3 linked regions of the Danio rerio genome follow. The protein of the gene in region 1 purifies or fractionates together with the protein of each later gene. This does not show direct contact. Links are inferred from orthologs where the notes say so. Each region holds a gene or a part of one and is shown on either strand. Other genes may lie near its edges. The genes, in order: cherp, u2surp and rbm17.

Region 1 (4,511 bases):
TGAGGCGAACGTGCTACCCACTGCGCCACTGCCTCGCAACCTGACATGTTTACTGCTCCAAAATATTTTATATGTTTCTCAAAATAAAACATATTGTGTTTAAAAGGGGGAAATTAGTTTGTTACCCAGACATTTAAAGTGAATATATTTTAGAGCAGTAATCATAATACTGTGAAACTTTACTTTACTTATTGTACACAAGTGGAAATTTATCTTTGGCTTCACCACACAACCACATCAGCATTCACACGACACACATCACAGAAAAAAACAGGCAACACAAATACATACAAAGTCATGACATATATCACATTAAAAACTCTATTTAAAACCCTTTACATACTTAGAACCCAGTATTTCAAGAGTTCGCCCTTAGCTGATGATTGATTATAGAGCATATTTGGCATGCTATCCCAGGATAGAGCCCTGAATTTGTGAGATCCTCGAGCCTGGGGCTCCCCCCGTTGCAGGGCGAGAGGGGAGTCTGAGTTCAGGCAGGTCTCGAGAACTCCCCAGCTTGATAATGTTGAAAGTAGATTAATGCATTGAAGTGTCTGCTGTCAATTTAGATTTGTCAGTTTACTTATGTTCCATGTTTTTGGTCTGTGGGAGGAAACCGGAGAGCCTGGTGAAAACCCACACAAACACGAGGAGAACATGCAAACTCTTTTTTTTGACAAAAAAGTCTTTTTGATGACAAGAACTGAATTTTTCTATTTAAGGAATGGGAACAATCCTCAATAAGGATGTGTGCTTTCTGTTTAATTGTTATTGAATAAATTTCATTTGGTTGTCTTTATGCTTTACCTACAGTTGCACTGGTAATTTTTTACTACTCTACAGTTTTTGCTTGTCCTTAATTGGCAACAGTCCATACCATGCAATCATGTTAAAACTCACAACACTTTCAACCAAGTTCTTGTATACCATCTCCAGAACATCTTGACTCTTTTTGAAATTTTTTGTACCATATTTTTTAAATCCCAGATGAGTAGCCAACCATGGTCACCACAGGATATCTAAAATATCTACACTTGTTTTTAAAATCAAATTGTATAAATATTAACTGTGCTTATCTTACCAAACATACTAGCAGCTACATCATTTTGTAAGCATCTTACAACTTATTCCACCTAACGGCACTTTTTCATTAGCATTAGCATATTTCGAGGCTAAACATCTTCAAAAAACTAAATTGCCTACAAAAATGTCTGTAGAACACGAAGATATACTAATGATTACTTACTGTTACGGTAATCAGCTTTCATATACATAATAAAGTGTCACAATGTCAAAAAAGAAGGGATAATTATCAAAAATCTTACAAATTTACGACCTCCCAACGGCAGTTGACGCTGTGACGAGACCTCTCTTCTTAAAGAGAGCGCATGCGCCTCCCACGCACCGGAGGAAGTAGTGAAGATTCTGTTTCCTCTCGCTTCATCTTGAACAGAAACACAACAAACCTATAGAGATGTGGTCGTAGATTTTTTAAAACTGGATATTTTTGTTTCGCGCTTCAGCGTGATGTCTTATAAGTGAATTCCTGGTCGTAATAGCCTGTATTGCTGAGAAATATGGATATTTCCACGCCTCCAGAAGGTAAAACTGCGCCTGCGCGTGTACTGCAGCGCGAACGCTAGCGAAGTCACATTATAATCAAACAGACACAAATAGACACAATTAGTGTATAAAATGAGGATTTAAACTTCTGCTTTGTTTATTTTTGACTGTTTAGTGTGGCTAGGATGGGAAACGAAGTACCCAAATATTCTACCACTGTATTAATTGAATGTACAACGTTTTTTTGCAATAATTGTCAATAGGATCAACGTTTTCAGCAAAAACATTGTATTTAGTAGTTAATTTAAATGAAAATTTCATTATTATCTAAGTTAAGTCTGAACAGATTGAAAGATAGCATCAATATTATATATTAAGTATATCTCATGATTAATTTGGTCACACTTTTTTTAAAGGTACAATTCTCGCTATTATCAAATAATTAACTAAGAATTCTAGCTCAATAAACTGCTAATTTGCTGTTCTTTTTTGCAGTTAGTCAGATAGTTTGGTTTAGGTATTGCATAGGATTAGGCATGTACAATATGGTCATACTTTATAAGTGATAAACAGCCAATGTTAAGCCAGTAGTTAATAGTGGGAATTGGTACTTAAATCGTTAGAGTTACGATTAATTTCAATATTATTATGTAAAATGTTTTTAAAATGTGAAAACTTAATTGTTTTCTATAAGTTTTAGCTCAATAAACTGCTAATTTGCAGTTTTTTTAGTTAGTAAGATAGTTTGGTTTAGTTATTGGATTGAATTAGGCATGTACAATATGGTCATGCCTTAAGTGATATACAGCCAATCTATAGTAATAAGCTAGTAGTTAAAAGCAGAAATTGGTACTTAAATTGTTAGCCTTAAGATTATTTTCAATGATATTATGTAAAATATTTAAAAAATGTAACTGCGAGTATGAAAACCAAATTATTTTTTCACAAATTTTAGCTCAATAAACTGCTCATTTGCTGTTTTTTGATAGTTAGTTGGATAGTTTGGTTTAGGCAGCCTATTGGGTAGGATTAGGCATGTACATAATGGTCATACGTTATAAGTGATAAACAGCCAATGTATAGTGGTGAGCTAGAAGTTAATAGCAGGAATTGGTACGTAAATTTTTAGAATTAAGATTGTTTTCTAAGAATTTTAGCTCAATAAACTGCTAATTTCCTGAGTTTTTTATAGTTAGTAAGATACTTTAGTTTAGGTAGGTTATTGGATAGGATTAGGCATCTACAATATGGTAATTTCTTATAAGTGATAAACAGCCAATGTGTGGTTATAAGCTACAAGTTAATAGCGGAAATTGGTACTTAAATTGTTAGCCTTACGATTATTTTCAATGATATTATGTAAAAAATGTAACTGTGAATTTGAAAATGTAATTGTTTTATTTTGATGTTTTTCTCTTTAATTTCCCCCCCATCAGATCAAGAGCTGCGCAATGTCATTGACAAACTGGCGCAGTTTGTCGCCAGAAATGGACCCGAATTTGAGAAGATGACCATGGAGAAGCAGAAGGACAACGCCAAGTTCTCGTTCCTGTTCGGAGGGGAATTTTTCGGCTACTACAAATATAAACTGGCCATCGAACAGCAGCAGCGTACGTGAAAGAACCGCAAGTCACATTTATTTACTAACTAGTGTTATTTTTAGTACAAGCTTTACGTAGGTGTATTTTTGCGATTTTTAAACTGGCTTGTTCCCATTGTAGTATTGAATATTATATTCATTTTTGAAAATGTTTGATATTTTATATATTTAAATATTGCTTACTTCCGTTTTAAAAATTCATATAACATTTGTTTGTTTGTTTCACTTTAAAGGAACTTTTTTTTGTTTGTTTTTGCTAACATTAATAACCTTGCTGCTAACCAAAGATCTAGATTTGTCTGACAGCTGTGTTCTGCATATGTTCGTGTTTAAGGTGTGCTTTTCTCCTTTATAGATTCTGGCACTCATGATGATGAATATAATATGGAAGGTATTTATTAGACCGATGTTCAGAAATGTTTCATTTTGCCTGGTATTCATGGAGTTCTTCTGCAACATCAGTGCTTAAAATCCTTATTTTGCTGTCAGATTATGTTATAAATGACATCTTTAAGTTAGCGTTCAACCTTTATAACTGGTTTAAATGCTATAAAACGGTTGCAAAAGCTTAACTGTTATTATTGCATTTATTTTGAGATTTAAAAGAAGCTTTCAAGCGAACTCTACTTTCTTGCACTGTTTTTTTTTTTTGCTACATAAACGATATGTAAGAATGTGCAGCTTTTTGTTTTGTACTTTCTGTTTGCAAATGTAAATATTATTGTTTAATATTTATTCAGCTTTTAAGGAAGCCACAAGCCAGCAGATTTTCTCTTTGGACTCTGGTTTCTTTTCCCCCGTAGCCTAAAATGTTTTTGCTTCCCGTTTGTTTGAGTTTTTTATGCTACAATCTCCAGACATGGAAAATCAGAGGAGAACAAACAAGCATGAGTGATTTTTCTGCATGTTTCTATGAACTTTTAATCTTGTTTCTGCCATGAATATTAATATAATTGTGACTTATCTCATTATTTGTTATATTTGCCTCACAGTTTGACCTTTTCACAGTTCTGTGTCTAGATTTAGCTTTTTTGACTATTGCTTGCAATTTTGTAAAAGTCTCCAAACCTTTTAGCTTATTGTTCGATTCTGAGTCTACATTTTGCATTTGCAACTTTTTGTCTTGCAAATAAAAGATTATCGGCTTCTATTTGAGCAAATCTGAGTCTACAACTTGCAATTGTTTACAATTCGTATTCTATATCGCGCTGTTCTGAGTCTGCATCTCTTGTGATTGAACATTTATAGATTTTCTTGCAATTTTAATTCGTATTGCACAATTTCAAGTCTACGTCTCGCAGTTGTGACTAATTCTTACTATAAAAGTTTACACTATTTTTTCCAATTT
Region 2 (4,775 bases), on another chromosome or scaffold:
GAAGGATTTATCAGTCATTTCAACATGTTCATAACATGCTTCTCATTTGCTTAAATGCACTGAACATGAGGAGTGATCTCAAATCAGCTATTCAGCATAAACCCCATTTTTATAAAACTCATAAAAAACTGCATGGTTAGCAATATTCTAGCATATTTTATGTCTACCTTTTATCTATTCAGTGAAAAACAATACAACATGATATAGAATATCTGTTAGAAATGTTACAAAAAATATAGTTTTTTCATAAATATTAAAAAAAGAGTTGTCACCCTTTCAACTATGATTTAATAGTTCCTGCAACATTTCTTCAAAAGCTGCTTCTGCTTTTCCAATGTGTGAAATGTAGGAGTGATCTCTGATCAGCAATGTAATGCAAACTGGTTCATAAGTTGAATGATTCATGAAAGGCTACATTTTTATGCTGCTTATCAGTTTTTCTTACCTATATTTTTTATTAAGAAGAAATATCTAAAATAGGATAATAAAAAAGGAACCACAACTTTGGGTAAAGTATCTAACAATCATTACAACAGTATCTAATCATTACAACAAACATCACAAAATTGAAAGTACTACGCAAAACCATAGGAGATAAAACAACCACCACCTCGTTCCAACAAAAAACATTTAAGACAGGAGAACAGGTGGACATTGTTCTCTTAACGTTTAACATTAGACTACTTCAACACCTATCACTTCTTCCAAAATGTCTCTTTCACCCTTTGTCTTTTCAATTTATGTGTGAGCCATGTGTGCTCAACTATGTTTGCATGTACACATATAGGCCTATACATGCCTCATTACCACGCACACATAAACAGTCAGGGAAAAACTCACATTGAATACAAACATATTTATGAATCCATTTTAGCTGTAACTAAAAGTCCATTTTATTTTAACACATTTGGGTAAATTTGGCCGGTAACTAATTAATAGAGTTTGCATAAATTTACACAGTACTACCTGACTAAATATAGTTCACTTAAATATGATATATCATTTACTCGACCTTCACTTGTCACGAGCCTGTTTGAGTTTCTTTCTTCTGATAAACACAAACGAAGATATTTTGAAGCTAGTAGAACTGACTTTCATAGTAGGCTATTTGTTTAATTTCAGTGGATGTTAGTGGCTATCCAATGTTCTTCATTTTTTATTTTTTGTATAACCATTTAAGACCAACTGATGGGGAGTAAATATAAGTAAATGTTAATTTTTGGGTTAACTGTCAAATAAATTTAATGCAATGCCCAATGCAAAGTTTAAAACGTCATGCTGAGTCACCAGAGTCCTGCTTTATGCAGAACTGTATCTTACTGCATCCAAGTTAGAACTTAACACAACAATGGTTGGCAACAGTGGCAAAATGATGTAGGCTTGCCCATATACAGTATATTGTCTTCTTAACCTAGAAGTTAAAATCAGCTGAACACCAGTTTGAACAAGCTAAAACCAGTATCATAAGCATGCACAAAAACAATCCCTTAAAAATACATTCTGAAACTCAATGTCTTGTGCAACACAGTCTGTGCTCAGATTTGAGGACTAAAGTCACACACAAGATCGGCTTCTGATATAGATGTCAAATCGACTTGTTTTTTTTAGTGTGTGTGTGTGTGTGTGTGTGTGTGTGTGTGTGTGTGTGTGTATGTGAGTGAGTGAGTGAGTGAGTGAGAGAGAGAGAGAGAGAGAGAGAGAGAGAGAGAGAGAGAGAGAGAGAGAGAACGCGCCTCACGCGCTTTCACAGTGTCGGGCAAAATGGCGGACAAAACGCCAGGTGGGGCCCAGAAAGGCAACTCTAAGGTATTTTATCACTTTTACGTTTTATTCTAGCATATTAAAATCGATATTTTTGGTTTATGATACGAAACGCTCAATAATTATGTGATTGACTGAGTCGTGTGTTTTTCTGGCATTTGAGAAAGGTCCATTAAGCAGCTCAGTTGTGATGCTAACTCGCTAGCAGTGTTGTTAGCTAGACACCGGCGGTGCACAGATTTGATCTGCAATATACTAAAATATGTTTGGTACATATGCTACACTTAACTAAGCTTGTTTTTTGTTATTATACGTTTGAAGCCAACACAGAACATGAACGAAGTTGCTGTGTTTTTATTGTGTGATGACAATGCTAACACGGAACGTAGTGTTTATGAAGATTACAGTATTGTATTGATTTCTGAACGTTTTGAACACACATGTATCGTTAAATAGGAGATAAGAATTGTTGATGCTGTGTGGATATCAAATTCGCGAATTTGCATGTTTACATTTGTGCTAAGATGTCAGTTTTGCTTTGAAGAGCTAACTTAACGTTAACAAGTTTCGCTACATAGTGACCAATATTGCCAGTCACGTGAACGTGTCAAATACCCTGAGATACTGTAAATACACGTTTTTGTTGTCATTTATATTGTACTTTTAGTCGTAACAGTACTCATAAAAGACAATTCAGCTCATATTTTTTTTGATACTCTGATAAATTAATGTTTTCAATCTTGATGGCTGGTCATAGAAGTTAACCCTTATGTACTGTTGGGGGATTTTGAGTCTTAATTTGGCCATAAGTTTTTCTGTTTCAGCTAGCAGAATGATGTTTGGTGACAAATATTGTTTTGACACTTATTTTCAGAAAATTGACTACGCTTTTGTCATGTTTGCGATGAAAACATCCAATAAATTAAACTGCTGTAGAAATGCATTAGATAAGTCTTTTTAAAATGCTTTCGAAATTTGTTAAGCAACAGTCTTGATCAATACTACTAAATTGATTGGAATATTACATTTTTTTAACTCTTTAATTGCCAAATTCATAAATGATGTCACTGATTTGGTGAAAGAAACACACATAATGATGTATTTTCAATATGAAAAGTAATTGTGGACTTTTTTCAACCCTTTTATCAAATTCTTGGACATGTAAAACAACATTGCCTTTGATTCATTGATTTTAATTTTTTTTTCCTAATTTACTGTTTTTGCCCTATTGACTTACATTATAACCACATTTTTTTATTACAAAACCATAACACCATATAATCATGCATTTTTGATTATTGGTTGTTTTCCCTGTTAGGAAGAGACACTATTTGTAATTTTTACTGTTGATCATCATTTGGCACCAATAACCCTTTAGATAGGCCTGTGCAAAAAAAAGCTTAGTTTATGGGTTTTATATGGAGTATAACAGCAAATAAGGTGTGTGTTAGTGACGTTTGTACTTACCTTGATGTGTCTGAGAAAATCAAAATATGCATCTCTGAACTACATTGCTTAAATAAAAACAAAGTGTTTATGCTCCATCAAATTTGGTGATAATGGAAGTCAACGTGGCAAAAACAGCCACCAACGGTAAATTAGGGTGGAAAAATAAAAATCCAACCAGCTAATGTTAGTACTAATAGTTCACATGTTCAAGACTGTAATAAAAGGTAAAAGTTTATCCAGCTCACAACTACTTTTTTTATTATTTTTTTTTTATAGAAAATACGGCAATTTGCGTGTTTTTTTTCATCAGTGACCTCATTTGTGAACTTGGCATTTAAAGAGTTAAAATCCTGTAACTTTCAAAACAATTAAGTTGTTTTGAGCAGGACTGAGGTTGATTAATAGATTTATGCAAACTTTTAAAAATATTTTTTTTGATGCATTTTTACTGCAGTTTAGTTCAATGGACGTTTTATACCGAACATAACAAAGGGTAGTACATTTTGAACAGTGCACAAGGGTTGAACAAACCCTTAAATAAATACTTTTCACAATTTCTTGTTTTTCCTTTGTTTTAGGCACTATAGAAATGTATTAACATCTCTTTTTATAAGATTAGAAGTTAAAGATGTATCTTTAGACAAGTGATGTTATGCCTGTCAGTATATAATCCATTGTTTATATGTTTTTATGCAGGCTTTATTGGAAAGTAAGTTAAAGGCTTTCAGTATTGGCAAGATGGCAGTTGCAAAAAGAACACTAAGTAAAAAAGAGCAAGATGAAATCAAGAAGAAGGTAAGAAAAAGAGATCCAGTAAGGTCTTACCAGTCAAAATGTTAGCATGCACTTGTCAATGGCTTGTTATTCTCTGTAACCATTCGCTTTCATTGAAGTATCAAGTTATCAAATTATATTTCAGTACAGTTTAATTTGTCTTAAGTTTTCTAGTGATGATCTTCATGTTTCTTCTTATATTTGTTTAGTTTGGTTGAAATATTGAAAGGTATAGTGTGTTTTTTTTGCCATGCTTTAGTGTTTTAGAAGTCGTCATGGTGTTGGTTTACAATAAAAGAAAAACTTATTTTTTGCGTATGACCAATTTTGGTTTACCTAAATTTTTTGGTTGCTTAATATTGCAATAATAAAGAAATGTGATATGCAATATATATATATTTTTAAATGTTCTAACCTATATATCATTCATATTATTTACGTAAAAATAAAGCATCACTACAACTTCTGAAAGTGACCAAGCATGCTCTGCTGTTTCATAAAACAAAGCAGACATTTTAACAACTTAAACTAACAAATATTAATGTCATCACCACACTTATGTTTAGATGAACATAACTATATTACTAGTATAGTTGTATCATCCTGAAAACGTCAAGTTTGAACAATTGCGAAAACAAAAACACTTGAAGCAGAGTATAATTGCTGTTAACATTGTTTGCTTGGGTATATTTTAGCATCCATACTAAAATCATGACAGATTTTTGGATAAGAAAACCAGCAAGTCAACTCCGTTTGGTTTTAGACACACATTAATGTAAAACTGCAGATAT
Region 3 (4,675 bases), on another chromosome or scaffold:
AACTCCCTCAACTTAAAAGTTGGTCATTCCAGAAAGAAGCAGGATTTTCAAGGTGCTGTTTAATTCAATCAGGCTAATTTTGCTTTTAGCTATAATTAAGAGGATCTCATGAAATTAATACTAATGTAGGCTAATGTTCTTTATTTTATCCATATTAAATCAAATAAAGCCGGATCAACTCTTTAGCAGAAAAAGCTTGCTTAATGTCAAAATCCTCCCTTTGAGAGATATGTGAAAATTTTGTTTATTTACTTAATTTGGGAATAGTTTTAGACTATCTGCAAATCTATTCTTCATATCAAATTATTGACTTTCTTGGATACCGTCTATACATTTTATTTTATTCTATTTGTAATTGGAAATACAAAATATAAATACAACAAAATTACATTAAACCCTACAAATTATGTATCAGATGCGGAAGGCTTAACACCAGAACGCCATATTAGGTCCAGAAAAAAGAATATACCAAAAAAAAAAAATAAAATACAAAGAGTGTAAACTTACAAAAATCATCCTAACTAAAAATGAACAAATGAACGAACAAAACAACAATATAGTACAGATATCATCTATACCAAGTTAAATAATATAAATAATTAAAAACATTTAAGGCGGTTTTTGTTTTCATTTTAGCCAGGACATCCAAAAATTGTTTAGTTCTTCTAAAAAACCAAAAGTAGTGGAGGGGTTTTGAAATATTTGCATTTATGAATATAATAGTTTTCTAATATAATAACAATATTTATCAATGATAATATAGTATTTGTGTAAAAAAGAACCATCTTTCATAATTTCACATCTCACATCAGTACATCTTGTAATGTGGTAGTCAAACCTTCAGCATCCACATTCTTGCATTTAATTATCTTTTTTATTGAACATTCAACAAGAATACAAAAATATACAGAAAAGGTATCAATTCTTTAACAACAAAAATAGACAACAGAACAAAACAAAAAGAGAAACAAAAGATTCTGCCAGGGGTAATATAAACAACAAAAATCTATCTTAAAGCAAGGTCACAGTGATGTATAAAAGGTCACATACAATACAGTCTGCTGGGTATTATAGAAAAGAGACAATACTGTAAGATTCACATAGTGTTATTAATTTTAAAGCTTTAACATTGCTGGAAGTAGAGATTGTATTCAAATAATACTTCAAATCTTTACAAAAAATAAGAAAAAACATTTGCACTTGTGTATGAAAAGATTTGCTAGTGAAAGAAATAGATTTATTAGAAAATCTTTATTTTTATTTATTTATTTTTTATTGAATACAAGAATAATAACATTGAAGAAAAAAATACAATAGCAAAAAAAGAAATGAGAAATAAGAAAAAAAAAACTTTACAAAGCCTCGATCATTAAGAAAAAATATAAACTTTAAGAATTTTTCAAGTAATAACCATGCTCTCTTCCATTGAATGCAGTCAGAAAAATTGATTTAGAAAACTGTACATCTTGGGGAGGTATATAGCCTACAGAGTTATGTAACAATCGTCTGACATGTCTGTTGGCACAATTTTTTTTTTTTTTTTTTTTTTGATAAAAAAAAGACACTCCGTCCAAAAAATGTTTAGGCATAATTGTTTTCCTCTCATTAAAGTAAAGAAACATTATTAGAAAATCTTAAATACTTTGATATCGCTGCCATTCTGACGTGAATACCTTTGGCTATGCGTAGTGTGACGTCATATGTTCGCGACGTCTCCATTGTAGCATGTTACGCTAACCAAGAGTGCATAACTTGTAGAGGATTTATTTTCGTGAAAGGTGTGTATCTTATGTCAAATATTCAACTATTAAAGTGTATGCGCTGTTACAAGATGAGGCAGCAACCATTTGTTTATTAAAAGCAGTAAATATTGCTAGCGGTCTACGTTATATGTGAATGCTAAACGTAGCTCATACATATTACTTATTATAAGGACCATTATTAATCCTATATAGCTTATTTAAAGTTAAATGTTTGTTTTCTGTTTTTTATGTCTAATCTATAGTTTATGTGATAATCTAGCATTTTCTGTTCTAGCTTTTATAACATGGTTGGCTGATTACTGTTTGGATTACGTTTATGATGCATGTATTATTATGATTTTCAGTGTTTTTAGTGGAAAGGAGGAGAAATGTCTTTATATGATGATTTGGGGGTCGCAACGAGCGACGCAAAAACAGAAGGATGGTCTAAAAACTTCAAACTGCTTCAGTCTCAACTGAAAGTGAAGAAAGCTGCACTGACACAAGCAAAGGTTGGTCAATGTTTAATTCTTGATAAAACTGTTTTATTAGTAAATATTTTTATTAATAAATGAAAAATGTATGTATTAATTGCAACTACATTAAATCTGAATATATCAGGGAATTTGAAATTAGTTAGTTATTTAGGTATTTTAGTCTGTGTCAATGATTTTGTTTACAGTTGTGAATTGAGAGAAAGTTGGTTTTATATTCACACATTCAGACTTTCTTAATAATATAATTTCAGAAAAGCATTCTTTGCTAATTCTAAATGGTGAAATCATATTAGCAGCCAGTGACTATCAAAGTACAACATCGTTCAGAGTCAAATAAGCGGTGCTAATGTTATTTTTGAATCATACTTACATGTGATTCCAGACCAAATATTTAAAGTGCCATGGTAAACTAAATAAGGAGCATTCTCATAAGTAGTTAATGGATCATAAATCTTATGGTACGGATCAAACTAAACTTAGAACCTGTAATTGCAATAAAAATACAATTCAAGAAAGAAATATCTGAAAAAAAGGAAAATATTTAATAAAATGATCTGATAATGCTAAATATAGAAATCAACATCTTGTACAACATATCGCATTTACAACGTATGGTAATTAATGATTCAACAATTCACATGTAAAACTTCATGTTTGGTTATAAGTGCATCATTTTTGAAACCCTATATTCAGTGACATAATTTTGATGGTTGTTTGTCGTTACACAATGTAATTGCTACAACATTCACCAGTGCCAAGTTCCATTGAATGGTGATTTAAATCTTTACCAGAAACATCGGTGTTTATGTCTGTACTAGAAACTGTTCTCCCAGCACTTCTGTGTTATTAAATTGTTTGTAACTAGTTGAAAAAGTGTAAAAACTGATTCTCTCTGATCTGATCAAACACAGATTTTAATGCAACGCTTCGAAGGATTAATGAACATATGCAGATCATTATCATTTAATATTCATGTTGCGCGGGTTTGAATTGAGGTCACGATCTTTTAATGTTGAATTGTGCAGCTTTACACTGAATGCTTTAATGCAGGCTAAACAAATAGTGACAGAAAACACTTCTTAAGAAACTAACACTAACCTAAGAAAACATTTAGTCCCACCACTTGTTCCGTCATCACTATATTTTACAGGGAACCCAAAATGCTTTCATACACGTGATTTGAATGTTACGGGAGGCAATCTCTCTGCAATTGTTATAAATATTGGATTAACCTACAAGTTTAAAAAAGTTATTAATCTGTGGGTCATGTGCATACCGTACTGTGGGTTGTGATCCGTAAGGATCCGTTACACCCCTTGTCACAAGTCATCACTGAACGAGTGAGTATGAAACCAACTTTACCTCTATACAGTTGTGTATGTAATTGTAAATCCTTGTTTCTTAATGATCTTTTTTGTCTGTTTATTTTACTGTTATCATTTTCTCATTTCCAAATCAAACTGCACCAAATTGGGTAAAATGTGTCATTTAAAATTTTAAAGTTCAAAATTCCACTCACATTTCTCTTTATAAATTTGTTTTAAACTAGGTGAAATAAAACAGGACAAAATAAATCACAAAAATGTTCCCATTGAAACTCATTTAAACTTTACAATTATATCCCTTTGACATTTAAGCAAAATGTCATACATTCTTTGTTTCATATTTTGACTTCAAAATTCTAAACATTTATTTAAATATATTTAAAAATATATTTTGCTATTTAATTAAATAATTTTAAAAAATTAAGATGTATAGTATTTTGCACATATTTTGGCATATTTTTCAGCTTTGAAGCTTTCTTACTTTCTTTCTTTCTTTTTTTCCTTATTTGTTTCTTTCTCTTTCAGCTTTGTTGAGTAAACGAAATTACAATTATGTGATTATATTCGTGTGGATATGTTTGTATTGTGTTTTTTTTTTACCTTATAATGTTACAAATATATTTTAAAAGGAATCATGAAATTGATTTATGATTTATGAAATGTTTGAACAGTTAGCATTTTATTTGACTGATAGTTTTGTCATCTAATGACATGTTTACTTTTTGTTTTAATTTCTGCACAAGGATTAATTAAGACAAGTGAAACCAATAGGTGTTATAACCGAAAAGTTTTATTGACAAATGACTTGTTTTGCAGACCCAGAGGACGAGACAGTCCAATGTTCTTGCTCCAGTTATTGATCTGAAGAGGGGAAGTGGAGGGGATGACAGACAGATCTCTGATACTCCTCCGCACATTGCTGCAGGGATGAAGGTAAACCGTGTCTAGATCCTATTTAGGAAAAATAGAGTATATAAAAATAAGTATAAGTAGTAGTAAGATTGCTACTAATTAAAATTATTTAAAAAATCTAATATTACTATGGGAAAGCATTTAAGCAGAATTTAATAATGACGACAGTAATCAATGCATTACATGAAATAAATTAAAT

The links.
Region 2: the proteins of cherp (region 1) and u2surp purify together in Homo sapiens (affinity purification with mass spectrometry; 4 studies listed by BioGRID and IntAct, with this or other methods). This does not show direct contact. The link is inferred for Danio rerio from reciprocal best matches to the Homo sapiens genes CHERP and U2SURP.
Region 3: the proteins of cherp (region 1) and rbm17 purify together in Homo sapiens (co-immunoprecipitation; 4 studies listed by BioGRID and IntAct, counting the BioPlex papers as one, with this or other methods). This does not show direct contact. The link is inferred for Danio rerio from reciprocal best matches to the Homo sapiens genes CHERP and RBM17.

What each region holds. Positions count from the first base shown.
Region 1 is NC_133197.1:5,173,130-5,177,640, reverse strand, and holds the start of cherp (calcium homeostasis endoplasmic reticulum protein), read left to right. Parts: upstream 1-1,399; 5' UTR 1,400-1,577; coding exon 1,578-1,602; intron 1,603-2,999; coding exon 3,000-3,173; intron 3,174-3,518; coding exon 3,519-3,554; intron 3,555-4,511. UniProt on the Homo sapiens protein: Involved in calcium homeostasis, growth and proliferation.
Region 2 is NC_133177.1:29,978,818-29,983,592, reverse strand, and holds the start of u2surp (U2 snRNP-associated SURP motif-containing protein), read left to right. Parts: upstream 1-1,729; 5' UTR 1,730-1,761; coding exon 1,762-1,806; intron 1,807-3,906; coding exon 3,907-4,005; intron 4,006-4,775.
Region 3 is NC_133179.1:26,166,294-26,170,968, reverse strand, and holds the start of rbm17 (splicing factor 45), read left to right. Parts: upstream 1-1,694; 5' UTR 1,695-1,778; intron 1,779-2,107; 5' UTR 2,108-2,131; coding exon 2,132-2,254; intron 2,255-4,380; coding exon 4,381-4,497; intron 4,498-4,675. UniProt on the Homo sapiens protein: Splice factor that binds to the single-stranded 3'AG at the exon/intron border and promotes its utilization in the second catalytic step. Involved in the regulation of alternative splicing and the utilization of cryptic splice sites.